Linked DNA regions of Callithrix jacchus. The protein of the gene in region 1 interacts with the protein of each later gene in a pairwise test. Links are inferred from orthologs where the notes say so. Each region holds a gene or a part of one and is shown in the gene's direction. Other genes may lie near its edges.

Region 1 (3,648 bases):
AAAAAAGGGGAAAAAAGCTGAATAGGCTAAATATAAAATAATTACCTTATAAAATAATTACTTTAATATTTAAAACTTGTACCAAGCTTAGCGTTTTCAAGGACTAGACAATGCTGTAGGAAAAGGCTTACTAGGTGTAATGTTATGTGAAAATAGGAAAATATAAAAATGATTCTACAGTATGCTCTAAATCAGCAGTCCTCAACCTTTTTGTTACCTGGGACTGGTTTCATGGAAGATAGTTTTTCCATAGACAGGGGTAGGGGGTAGGGGTGCAGGCCTGGGAGGGTGGAGGTGCAGGGATAGTTTCAGGATGAAACTGTTCCACCTCAGATCATCAGGCATTAGATTCTCATAAGGAGAGTGCAGCCTAGATCCCTCACATGCACAGTTCACAATAGGGTTCACACTCTTGCGAGAATCTAATGCTGCTACTCATCTGACAGAAGACAGACCTCAGGTGGTAATACCTGCCCATAGGGAAAAAACTAAGAATTCCCCCAAATATTAAATTATGGCTGTATGGTGATATTTAGGGTGATCTTCATGTTCTTTTTAATTTTGTGTGTTTTTCAAATTTGCCATAATACATGTTATTTTTATAAGCAAGAAAAGTAATAAATATTATGTTCATTGAAGATAAAAATCAATTACAAAAATATAATTCTAAGCTGGTTGACTAAACATAACTCACAAATATGCATATGTGTTACCCTGATACTTTATATTGTAATGACTGATGCTTTTAACAAAGATATGGAGCTAAATTGCTGTGAATAGGGTTGATTAACAGTATCACACATATAAAAATGAGAGGGGCTGACTCAGTCTCAGAATAATGGTCTTTGGAGGAGAATCCCTATTCCCCTTTTCTGAGATTTTTAATGTTTTTAAAGATAGTGTTACTACTTATTATATGGGAAGACAGATTTTACAAAATTACAGAACTCCTGGTAAAGATCTAAGGATTTCCTCTCATAGCATTCTGTATTCTCCAAGATACTTGTTTTCAACCCAGTATGAAGTGTAAGGGCCCAAAGAAGGCTGAGACTTCTTAGGAGTTACCAGGAACTCTAAAAGAAAAATTAAGAAATAAATAAAACAAACTAAAAAACTTGGAGTATCAGGTGACTTATCATTATATAACAATGCCTAGATATTTCTCAACTCTGTTTCCTCCTTGTCTTTGTGCCCTTAGGTGCTGATATTCATGGCTTCAGCGCTCCTAGGACCTTTGGCTTATCACTGGGAAGTGTAGTAGATGAAATACAGAGAAATGTGAAGCCCGTGGTGGCAGCAATCCAAGGCATGGCTTTAGGAGGAGGACTAGAGCTGGCCCTGGGCTGTCACTATAGGATTGCCCATGCAGAGGTAACAACCAAGGCTCTATATGGTGGCTGGTGTGTGGGGCTTTTCTTTAAGACAAACTCTAAATGTAGTTATAAGTATCAGAGGTGATTTTTATTTTATTTATTTATTGATTTATTTATTTTGAGACAGAGTCTCGCTCTGTCTCCCAGGCTGGAGTGCAGTGGTATGATCTCAGCTTACTGCAACCTCCACCTCCCAAGTTCAAGTGATTCTCCTGCCTTAGCCTCCTGAGAAGCTGGGACTACGGGCACGCTACCATGCCCTGCTAACTTTTGTATTTTTAGTACAGATGGAGTTTCACCATGTTGGCCAGGCTGGTCTCAAACTCCTGACCTCAGATGACCACCCTCCTCGGCTTCCCAAAGTGCTGGGATTACAGGCATGAGCCATTGCACCTGGCCCAAAGGTGATAATTTTGAATGGTTGGCTTACTGGTTAACCACTTCAGCTCTTATGTACCAATACAGTGGTACTAATTGTTATGTTAAAATGCTGTACTTCCATTCTCATTAGTAAACACCTACTACTCTGAGCCCTCTGTCTCCTTGCTTCCCTTCACCTTAGCCCTAGGGCCTCTATGATCCACCAATGAAAGGGGAACTCCCGACTCAACAGACAGCCCCAAGACTCTTCTCCAGTGCTATGACCCATATCAGCTTTCACTGATGCAGTGCTCATGCAGTATGAAGTATTAAATATGTTGGCTGTCACTTCTAAGTATACATTTAAATACTTATTTGATAACTCAAAGATTTCTGTATCATGGTCCCTTATAATTGTCAGTACCTAAGAAGACAAATTTCTATTGGAAAATAGCACAAAACTAGTAAATATGTTTATTTCTGGAAATAGGTTTAATTTAGGCTATTAGACATGTCAGATGAGGTCTGTGATACCACTCTGTATCACAGTATGTATAATGGTAGTATTTTTGTAATTAATATATTTTTCTAATGATAAAAGTAATATCATTCTATTAAACTAGAAAACATAAGAAAATATGCAGATGTAAACTAAAATCATCATAAACTCACAGTTCAGAAATAATCACTATTAATATTCTATTTCATTCTAGTCTGTTTTGTATGTAATTTTTAAATTACAGTTTCCTTTTCCTTTGAAAAACCTTCTTTTAAAACAAACTACAGCCTGGGCTCAGTGGCTCATGCCTGTTATCCTGGCATTTTGGGAGGCTAAGGTGGGCAGATCATGAGGTCAGGAGTTTGAGACCACCCTAGCCAATATGGTGAAACCACATCTCTAAAAAAATATACAAAAATTAGCTGGGCATAGTGGTGTGTACCTGTAGTCCCAGCTACTTTGGAGGCTGAGGAAGAAGAATCGCTTGACCCCAGGAGGCAGAGGTTGCGGTGAGCTGAGATCATGCCCCTGCACTCCAGCCTGGGCAACAGAGAGAGACTCCATCTTAAACACACACATACACACACACACACACAACATTTGGGCTTTTATTGTATTGAGTTTATACTCCAATTTTATACTATAATATTTAACCCATTGTTAAATATTCTTTATTCTGCCAACCTCTGTCTTTTAATTAGAGAACTTAATACACTTATATTTGATGAAATTACTGATAAGGAAGAACATACTTCTGCCATTTTGCTATTTGTTTTTTATGCTTTTTGGTTTTTTGTATGTATGTGCATTGTTGTTGTTCGATTCCTTTATTACTGCTTTCATTTGTGTTAAATGCAAAAGCGTCCCCTTTTAACTTTCTTATTTCTTTTACTATATATATTTTTAGTTATTTTCTTAGTGGTGGTTAATTTGGTGATTACAATTAACATCTTAATTTATGACAGTCTAGTTCAGATTAATACCAACTGAATTTTAATAATATATAAAAAATTTGCTCCTCTATAGCCTTCATTCCTTGCCCCTTTATGCTACTGTGCTATTATTGTCACAATTTATATCTTTATACATTATGTGCCCCTTAACATAGATTTATCATTATTGCTTTACATAGTGGTCCTAAATCACATAAGAAAAAGAAGAATCACATTATTGTGATTTTCATTATTTTAAAATGAAAAATACATTATTCCTGTCTTTTATATTTACCCGTGTAGTTACTCTTTATCAGTGTTCTTTATTTCTTCATGTGAATTCAAGTTACTGCCTGATGTCTTTTTCTTACAGCCTGAAGTATTTCTTACAGGCTAAATATACTAACAACAAAATCAGTTTTTCTTTATCTGCCAATGTGTTAATTTTACCTTCATTTTCAAAGGATAGTTTTGCTGGATACAG
Region 2 (4,235 bases), on another chromosome or scaffold:
GTTTGCCTTCCAAAGCCAAGGGGTGAGGGGTGGACAGGGAAGGAGACTGTTCTGGCCAGAAAGGAGATAAAATCTGAGTGAAGGAGGCTGAAGGACAAATACTTCCATTCAGGATCTAGCACTGGCAGGACTGTTTGGTGTGTAGGAATTTAGAGCTGGTTTAGTGACTACAACCTGGCCTTAAATTTAAAAAGGGGGTGGGGGTGGAGCATGGCAGGTGGTGAACTGAGGAATTTACTGTGATCTGTAAAATAAGCTTAAGTACTAACTCCATTGTGGGCAGGGAGGCAAGAAACTTCCCTTTTATGAGGTGAAGATAAGCCTCTTCAGTCTGAACTTTCCTAAATTCCACTTCTTTCTTTTCTATAAAACAAGATGATAAAGAAAATGTGGCACATATACACCATGGAATACTATGCAGTCATAAAAAAGGATGAGTTCATATCCTTTGCAGGAACATGGATGAAGCTGGAAACCATCATTCTCAGCAAACTGACACAAGAACAGAAAACCAAATGCTGCATGTTCTCATTCATAAGTAGGAGTTGAACAATGAGAACATATGCACACAGGGAGGGGAACATCACACACTGGGGCCTGTTGTGGGTAGGGGGCTAAGGGAGGGATAGCATTAGGAGAAATACCTAATGTAGATGACGGGTTGATGGGTGCAGCAAACCACCGTGGCCTGTGTATAGCTATGTAACAAGCCTGCACATTCTGCACATGTACCCCAGAACTTAAAGTATAATAATAATAGACAAAGTGAAGTACTTTATGCTATCCATCAAAAATCACTAAATGTATTTTACATCAATTTGTGAGCTTATTATGCTAGAAAAGTTTTCCTTGGCTATTTCATATGGATATATGCTCTCTCCTCAACAGTTTCTGCTTTTTGTTTTTAGAATCTCACATAGTCCGTATCTTGTTTTTCAGAGTAGATACTATCGCTGTGGCTGGCTGAGTTCTCATCTCTCTGCAACCAAGGCTAACTGGTTCTTAGGTTACCTTGATGCCACACACCGAGAGTCCTTTCTGGATTTAGTGATTGGTGCTGCTTATTTCCACCTTCTCTGAGGATGGAGCCTCAGAATAGAGACCAGGTTGAAAAATCAGTCTTTTACTTAGAACTCTGAAAACAGGTACTACATCTTATCCATCTACAACCCTGTGACCCAGAAGCCATTAATTCGACATTACCAACATACCTCCACACGAGGACTTCATAATCTTCAATGTGAGAATTGAAAAAAAAAAAAGACTTAAGCAACTTTGGTGGGGAGGAGAACGATAACCTAAATTTTAACTGTCAGAAAATCTCTAACAGAAAGATCCCAATAATTGCCACTTGGGGGAGATGGAAGTTCATGAATTGCTCTGCTAATCCCTGAGGCAACAGAGCACTTTAACTGGTTTATTTATTCAAAGCTGGAATTTGGACGTGTGAACCATCAAGCTTAGGGAAATTCCTGGATGAGGAACACAGCCCTGGGAGAAACCTACCAAAGATGGAATTAGCACCTTGGCGAACTGCCTTCAGCACAAAGAACTTTCTTTCCTTGTGCGTCTTAAGAATTTACTTCAGTTCCCTTTTGTCTGAAGCAGAGGAGGCCAAGTTAAACCGTGAAGAAGAGTGCTTATTTGTCACTACCTGCAAACACATGTAAGTGCACAGTTTAAGCAGCGTTAAGACAGCTCTCAGATACTTGGATCGGAGTTTGGGTTGGTGTGGGTGGGCCTCAGTTGGTACCTTTCCTGAGGAAAGGAGGGAGGTTATAGAGTTTATCTTAGGAAATTCTGAGTCATAGGTATCACTTGAAGTGACTAGTGAGAGGGAGTTTGGACAGGTTTAGAAAAGCACCCTGTGGAAAACAAAGGAGAGAAAAAAAATTTTCGCTGCAGGAGTAATATTGTAGCCACATGGTGGCGTGCTGTGGGCTTTATTTCTCCTTTCTGATTCCTTCGGTGATGCTTGGAACCACCGGCAGGGTAGGGGTCCTGGCATCAGATTTTGGCCAGCGGAGTCATCAAGCAATGTAAATGTTAGGGGTCCATTTTCTACTTCTGCCTGGTCTTTTTTTCCTTCCCAAGATTGCCAATAAAGTGTCATCAGCCGCCGGATGCAGCGGCTCATGCCTGCAATCCTAGCATTTTGGGAGGCCAAGGTGGGCAAATCACCTGAGGTCAGGAGTTCGAGATCAGCCTGGGCAAAATGGTGAAACCCCATCTCTACTAAAAATAATAATAATAATTTAGCAAGCATGGTGGTGTGTACCTATAATCCCAACTACTCGGGAGGCTGAGGCAGGAGAATTACTTGACCTGGGGAGGCTGAGGTTGCAGTGAGCTGAGATCGCGCCACTGCACTCCGGCCTGGGCAGCAGAATGAGATTCCATCTAAGAAAAAGTGTCATCAGCACAAGAATTTGTCCCGCTTCTACTCCAAGAAGGGACAAAGTGGACAAAGAAATGTGGAACTTAAAAAAACAAATCTAGAATGCACTTTTGTGTATAAGAAAAGACATAAACATAGCCAAGATATCAGGTTGCACCGCCTGTGTGTTAGGCTTTCCATTTCAAAAGCCCTCCATCCTGACATAGGGATGACCTAAGGGCTCTAAGATTGCAGCTAGGATAAGGACCCATGGATTCCCACACTCAGTGCCCTATGCCTTCTGGAAGTTGCTGACACATGTTTGTGAGAGACATTCAGAAAACCTGGAAGCATGTGATGTTAGTGAGACATTTTGGATTTAGAGTGAGAAGTCCAGCTTGAGTTAGCTTAAGCAGAAAAAGAAATTTGGGGATCACACCCTTGGGAAGTACAGGGGTGGGTAAAGCCTCAGGAAGGGCTGGATCCAGGTACTCTGCCTCCATCTCTTGGCCTGATACCACTTAGTGTGAAAGCCTCTCTCCCAACTTCTTTAACATTTGGGGGAATTTGCTCTGACTGGGTCACATTCTTTCTCCTAGATCAATTACTGTGTCTGGGGAGGTGAGGCAATATGATTGGCTAGGTCTAGTGTGTTGTGATTGACGGCCCACCTGAGACCACCTAAAATGGGGGAGAGGATGTTCCTCAGAGGAAATGATGCTGAACAGACAAAAGCAGCATGAATCTCCAGGCAAATCATTTGTCTGTATGGACAGGAAGATCAACAAGCTGAGAAACAGGAAGTGATCCATTAGCCAATAGTAAAATTAATCCCAATTGCTGTTTTGCTTCCTTAGATTCTAACATAGGCCTAATGAAAAGGCTCTGGATTCTTTTGTAAATAATTTGGGAAATGCCTCTATTAATTCAAAGAGGATCTTGGAACTGTTTTCTATTCACAAATGCCCATAAAGAGGAACCTGAGTTGTAATCACATGCTTCTTTTATTCCTACAATAAAGAAAGCACCAAGAGTTCAATATTGAATGCCGAAATGAAAGAAAACATTCTGTTTAATCATGAAAAGAACCAACAATTGCATTTGAGTCTAAAAGTCCTAAAATTATCCCTAGAAACCTCTTAAGGTCTACATATTATTTGCAAGGCTCCCTTAATGCAAATGATCTGCTTTCTATGTTAGTCATCAGTTATATAAAACACATGCCCCAGCATGAAACATAAACGAAAACAATAAAATTTCAAGAAACCAAGGGCCAAAAATAGCTATAGTCAATTGCTGATAAGGTGTGAGTGGAAACAGTGGGACATTCTGTTCTGAATGACAATTATCCTTGATCTTCCAGGCTGAGAGGATTGTAGGAAGTTGTTGTGTAGATGGGCAAACTTACCTAGGCCACAGGCTGGCAGCCACATCCACACACCATTCTGAGCCTAGGAGAAAAGCCCTGGGCCCAGAGGTGAGGTGGTCTGGAAAGGGCACCCTTTGGAGTCATGAAGCTCCAACTCTGGGCTCTCTGTCAGCTGTGTGATATGGATATCATGTTACTTCTCAGAGTCTCCACTGCCTCATGAGTGAAGTGACAAGAATGCTGACATTATCTCATAGAGAAAATGAACATTTCTATATTGATCTAACTCAGGAGTCAGAATATTTATTCTGTGAAGGACCAGAGAGTAAATATTTTGGGCTTTGTAGCCCATAGACTCCATGGCAACTACTGAAGTCTACATGAAAGCAACCACAATGTGTAAATGAATGGATGTGGCTGTGCTCCAATGAAAGGTTATTTACAACCTGAAGGTGGCCCTCAACTTTGGCCCAAAGGCCATAGTTTGCT
Region 3 (3,674 bases), on another chromosome or scaffold:
GCTTCTGTTCACAACGACAGGGCAAGGTATGTCCACAGGGTGAGAATCATTCCTCCTCAGGGTCGACAAAAGCACAGTGGAATTCTGCAGAGTCCAGGAAGTTTGGAATTGCTAAGAAATTTGCTGCTGCAGACAAGCCACGTGGGCCCTTAGCCTTAGCATGACCCCATGGAACTGGATGTGAGTGACAGAAGAGAGACGCCTGCGTCCAGGACACACTGCACAGGAATCCCTGGGACTCTCTCTGTGTCATGTTCCTGGCTATCAGAACAGCTCACCAGCTTTCTGCAGAGGCCCGCTGGACCCAGGGTAGCAGCAGGGAACCGGAAGGAGCAGGAGCATGGCCATCGGGATAGAGTACTCACAAGACCTGGCTGAGCTGGTGGAACTGCTCCAGAGCTTGGCGACACCAACACTGCTGCTTGTCACTGCCGCACCCTGCACACAGCGGGCTCTGCAGGAGTCGGTAGTAGCGGCGGCGGGCATACCGGCTGTCCAGCTCCCCCTCAAGTTCCGGGTCTGTGCCCCCTTCTCCCTTCCTCTTACTCTGCATATAGACTCTCAAGAAGCGCCCATACAGACGCTGGATCATTTCTTGGAAGGTTCTGGGGGTGCTAAAGAACAAGACTCCGCGCAACATAGTGTGGACCTTTTCTCGCAGCCCCTGAGCACCAGTGCCCATCAGCAAGCCCAGGCGAGTCCATTTCTCCAGCAGCTCTAGGCTCCGCAGGTAGGGATCCAGGCGGCTCTCCAGCAGGCCAAAAGCATCAAGGAGCAGCAGAAGGCACTGGGGCTCATCCGCAGAGTTCTCGCGCTGGGAGATGGCATTCCAGAACTCAGGGGAGATGTTGGCCTGCAGATCGTTCTGCAGCACCTCTACGAACCACTCCTCCAGGACCGAGTGCAGGCCGTGGCCCCTCAGAACCTCCACCGCCGCCCGGAGCTCGTCTTCCTTTGGCGGGACTGCACCGCTGGTCCGTGAAGACACCTGGAGTGCAGAAAACCATGAGAAGAGGGGAACACAACGTAGAGGTGGGGAGAGGCGGGAAGGTTAGAAGCGGAGGGGAGGCTGCAAACTCCTATGCCCCTTGTCCGCGGTGCACGGGTGTTTAGCCGAAACTAGGGAAGGGCTGCCAGCGGAGCCGAACGAAATGGAACGGTGGAAGAAGGTGGCAGGACAGGACAGAGGCAGGTGACGAACAGAGCCGTTTGAACTCGAGGGTGGCCGCCCCAAAGCGCGTAGGGTCCCGGGAACTCCGCGCGGGGCCGCCGCTCTCTTCCCAGGCCTCACCAGCCCCAGCGCAGCCGGCGGCACCAGGCCGGTGCTCACGGTATTCCAAGCCAGTAACAACTCCTGTCCAGGCCGGGGGTCGCTGCCCCCCTGCACCGCCGCAGCTGCCGCCGCCGCCATCTGCACCGCCCCTGCCCCTTGATCCGCTCTGCTCCGCTCGGCGCGGCGCGGCGCGCGGCGATGACGCACATCTGGGGGCGGCGCGCAGCGATGACGGACACAAGGCGCGCAGCGATGACGCGCTACTTCGGCGCGTCGTCGGGAAGCCGTGCGCAGGCGCGGGTAGTGCTGCTGCCGCGGCGGTTGGGGCGGCGGGGCCCCGGGCGGCGTTGACCATGACCCAGCAGGGCGCGGCGCTGCAGAACTACAACAACGAGCTGGTCAAATGTGAGCGGCGCAGCCGGGGCGGGGAGGTCGGGAGGGGCGCAGGGCCGGGTTCCCGGCTCGCATCGGGGTGCCCCCTGGCCCCGCCTCGCTGCGGGCATCGCGCGGCTTGAGCAGAGCCCTCCGTGCCGGGGGCTTGGTGTCCGCGGCCCGAGCCCTCGCTAGCTCGCAGGCCCCGCGCCGGGCGCTCTGGGGTGGTGCCCGACTCTGGCTTCCTCGGGCGGAAGGAGGCCCGCCCTCCGCCGCCGCCCTCCTCCCCTGGGCCCACAGCGCCGCCCGTCCCGGCCCCACAGGCATTGAGGAGCTGTGCCAGAAGCGGGAGGATCTGTGCCGGCAGATCCAGCAGGAGGAGGACGAGAAGCAGCGGCTGCAGAATGAGGTGAGGCAGCTCACAGAAAAGCTGGCCCGCGTCAATGAGAACCTGGCACGCAAGATTGCCTCTCGCAACGAGTTCGACCGGACCATCGCGGAGACGGAGGCCGCCTACCTCAAGGTGGAGCTCGGGAGGCCAGGCGGAGCATCAGGGGGATAGCCACGCAGGGCGTCAGGACTGGCTAGGCCTCCCAGCTGTGGACAATCTGTGCCCTGCTGGCATATCGGGCTGGGGCAGCGTGGCCTGGGGCATCCTGGGTCCTGGTCTTTATCTGGTTCTCGCTAATCGTGTGGTTCTTTCTGCTCAGAGTGTGAGGAGCTAGGTCTTGGGCAGAGCACCCAGCATGGGCCAGTGCTAGCTTAGTCTGGCTTTGAGGGTGGGGAGGAAGTGCTTTGGGTCAGCTTCAGGAGGGAAGAGGGCCTGTCAGCCCGTCTGCCAGTCCGCCAGTCCCCTTGGGCTTCTCCCTTCCCCCAGCACAGGATCTGTTGGCTACAGCACCCACGGCCAGATCCTAGCACCTGAATGTGAGGACAGCTGGGCCTTAGGGCCTTCCCAATAGGTGAACAGTGACGAGCTTCTTTCTCAATTCTCTGGCCCCAGATCCTGGAGAGCTCCCAGACTTTGCTTAGTGTCCTCAAGAGGGAAGCTGGGAACCTGACCAAGGCTACAGCCTCAGACCAGAAAAGTAGCGGTGGCAGGGACAGCTGACAGGACCACAGGCGGGCCTGCCTCCGTGCGCCCCTCAGCTCAGCCAGGCAAGTCCGTCCTCAGCGCGTCTTTCATCATGGCAGCAGCTGCCTTCTCTCAACCTCCACTGGCATCGGTGACAAGCCCAGGACACAGCCCACCCGGGGGGGTGGGTCCTGGCTTTCTGCTCACACAGGCTATGGGAATGGTGGGCTCCAAGTCAGCTCTACAAGGGGCCTGTCTCTGAGGTACCCACTCTCCTGGACTGCCAGGGAGGCCCTGGTTGGAGTCTGAGCATCATGGGGGTCCCCCTACCTTGTCCCTCTTCAGCCAGGGCAGGCACAGGGGTTCTCCACCCCAGAACCCAAACCTCAGGGCTCACCCCTGTGGCCTGTGACTGTCAATAAAGATTATCTTTGTAAAGATCGGTGCCAGCCTGCTGCTTGCCTGTGTTAACAGCGTGGGACTGCCAGATACCCGCAGAGCCAGAGCCTGAGGCTCCCCCTTGGGAGAGGAGGCAGCAGAGTCTGGAGTGGCCTCTCTGTGATTGCCCTACTAGCCTCAGGGACACCACTGAGGGTGCCCACCCTGCCCAGGCCAGCCCCACCCTTAACCCTCCCCAGCAGGGCAGCCGATTCTTCCCCTGACTGGCCCCCCTCCTCTCAGGAGCTCTGCTCACTGGTCCTGTTCTCTGCCACACCTTGGCATCCAACATAGGACCCAGCCCAGAGAGACAGCTGGGGATGCCAAGCATTTTCACCCCTGCCTCAGGCCCAGGTCTCTCTCAGCAACGACTGGGGGGCTTTACACCCCCTGCCGATTCTTCAGCTGCAAGTTCTGCTTGGCCTGAGGACACCACTACTGCCGCCAGGGCCTGCTGTCTTCTCCCTGGCCACACCAGGTGCTGCCCACTTCCATCCTTTCATGTGCCCCAGGGCC

Evidence for each region. The genes of interacting proteins can lie anywhere in the genome.
Region 2: the proteins of EHHADH (region 1) and MID1 interact in binary tests that used the Homo sapiens proteins (3 or more experiments, as listed by UniProt). The two-hybrid records come from large-scale screens. The link is inferred for Callithrix jacchus from reciprocal best matches to the Homo sapiens genes EHHADH and MID1.
Region 3: the proteins of EHHADH (region 1) and SSNA1 interact in binary tests that used the Homo sapiens proteins (3 or more experiments, as listed by UniProt). The two-hybrid records come from large-scale screens. The link is inferred for Callithrix jacchus from reciprocal best matches to the Homo sapiens genes EHHADH and SSNA1.

The regions. Positions count from the first base shown.
Region 1 is NC_133516.1:14,207,684-14,211,331, reverse strand, and holds part of EHHADH (peroxisomal bifunctional enzyme), read left to right. Parts: intron 1-1,198; coding exon 1,199-1,371; intron 1,372-3,648. UniProt on the Homo sapiens protein: Peroxisomal trifunctional enzyme possessing 2-enoyl-CoA hydratase, 3-hydroxyacyl-CoA dehydrogenase, and delta 3, delta 2-enoyl-CoA isomerase activities. Catalyzes two of the four reactions of the long chain fatty acids peroxisomal beta-oxidation pathway.
Region 2 is NC_133524.1:11,281,318-11,285,552, reverse strand, and holds the start of MID1 (E3 ubiquitin-protein ligase Midline-1), read left to right. Parts: upstream 1-1,423; 5' UTR 1,424-1,666; intron 1,667-4,235. UniProt on the Homo sapiens protein: Has E3 ubiquitin ligase activity towards IGBP1, promoting its monoubiquitination, which results in deprotection of the catalytic subunit of protein phosphatase PP2A, and its subsequent degradation by polyubiquitination.
Region 3 is NC_133502.1:185,598,631-185,602,304, forward strand, and holds SSNA1 (microtubule nucleation factor SSNA1), read left to right. Parts: upstream 1-1,551; 5' UTR 1,552-1,626; coding exon 1,627-1,678; intron 1,679-1,968; coding exon 1,969-2,168; intron 2,169-2,648; coding exon 2,649-2,756; 3' UTR 2,757-3,162; downstream 3,163-3,674. Other genes in the region: ANAPC2 (anaphase-promoting complex subunit 2), read right to left, coding at 366-988, 1,292-1,411. UniProt on the Homo sapiens protein: Microtubule-binding protein which stabilizes dynamic microtubules by slowing growth and shrinkage at both plus and minus ends and serves as a sensor of microtubule damage, protecting microtubules from the microtubule-severing enzyme SPAST.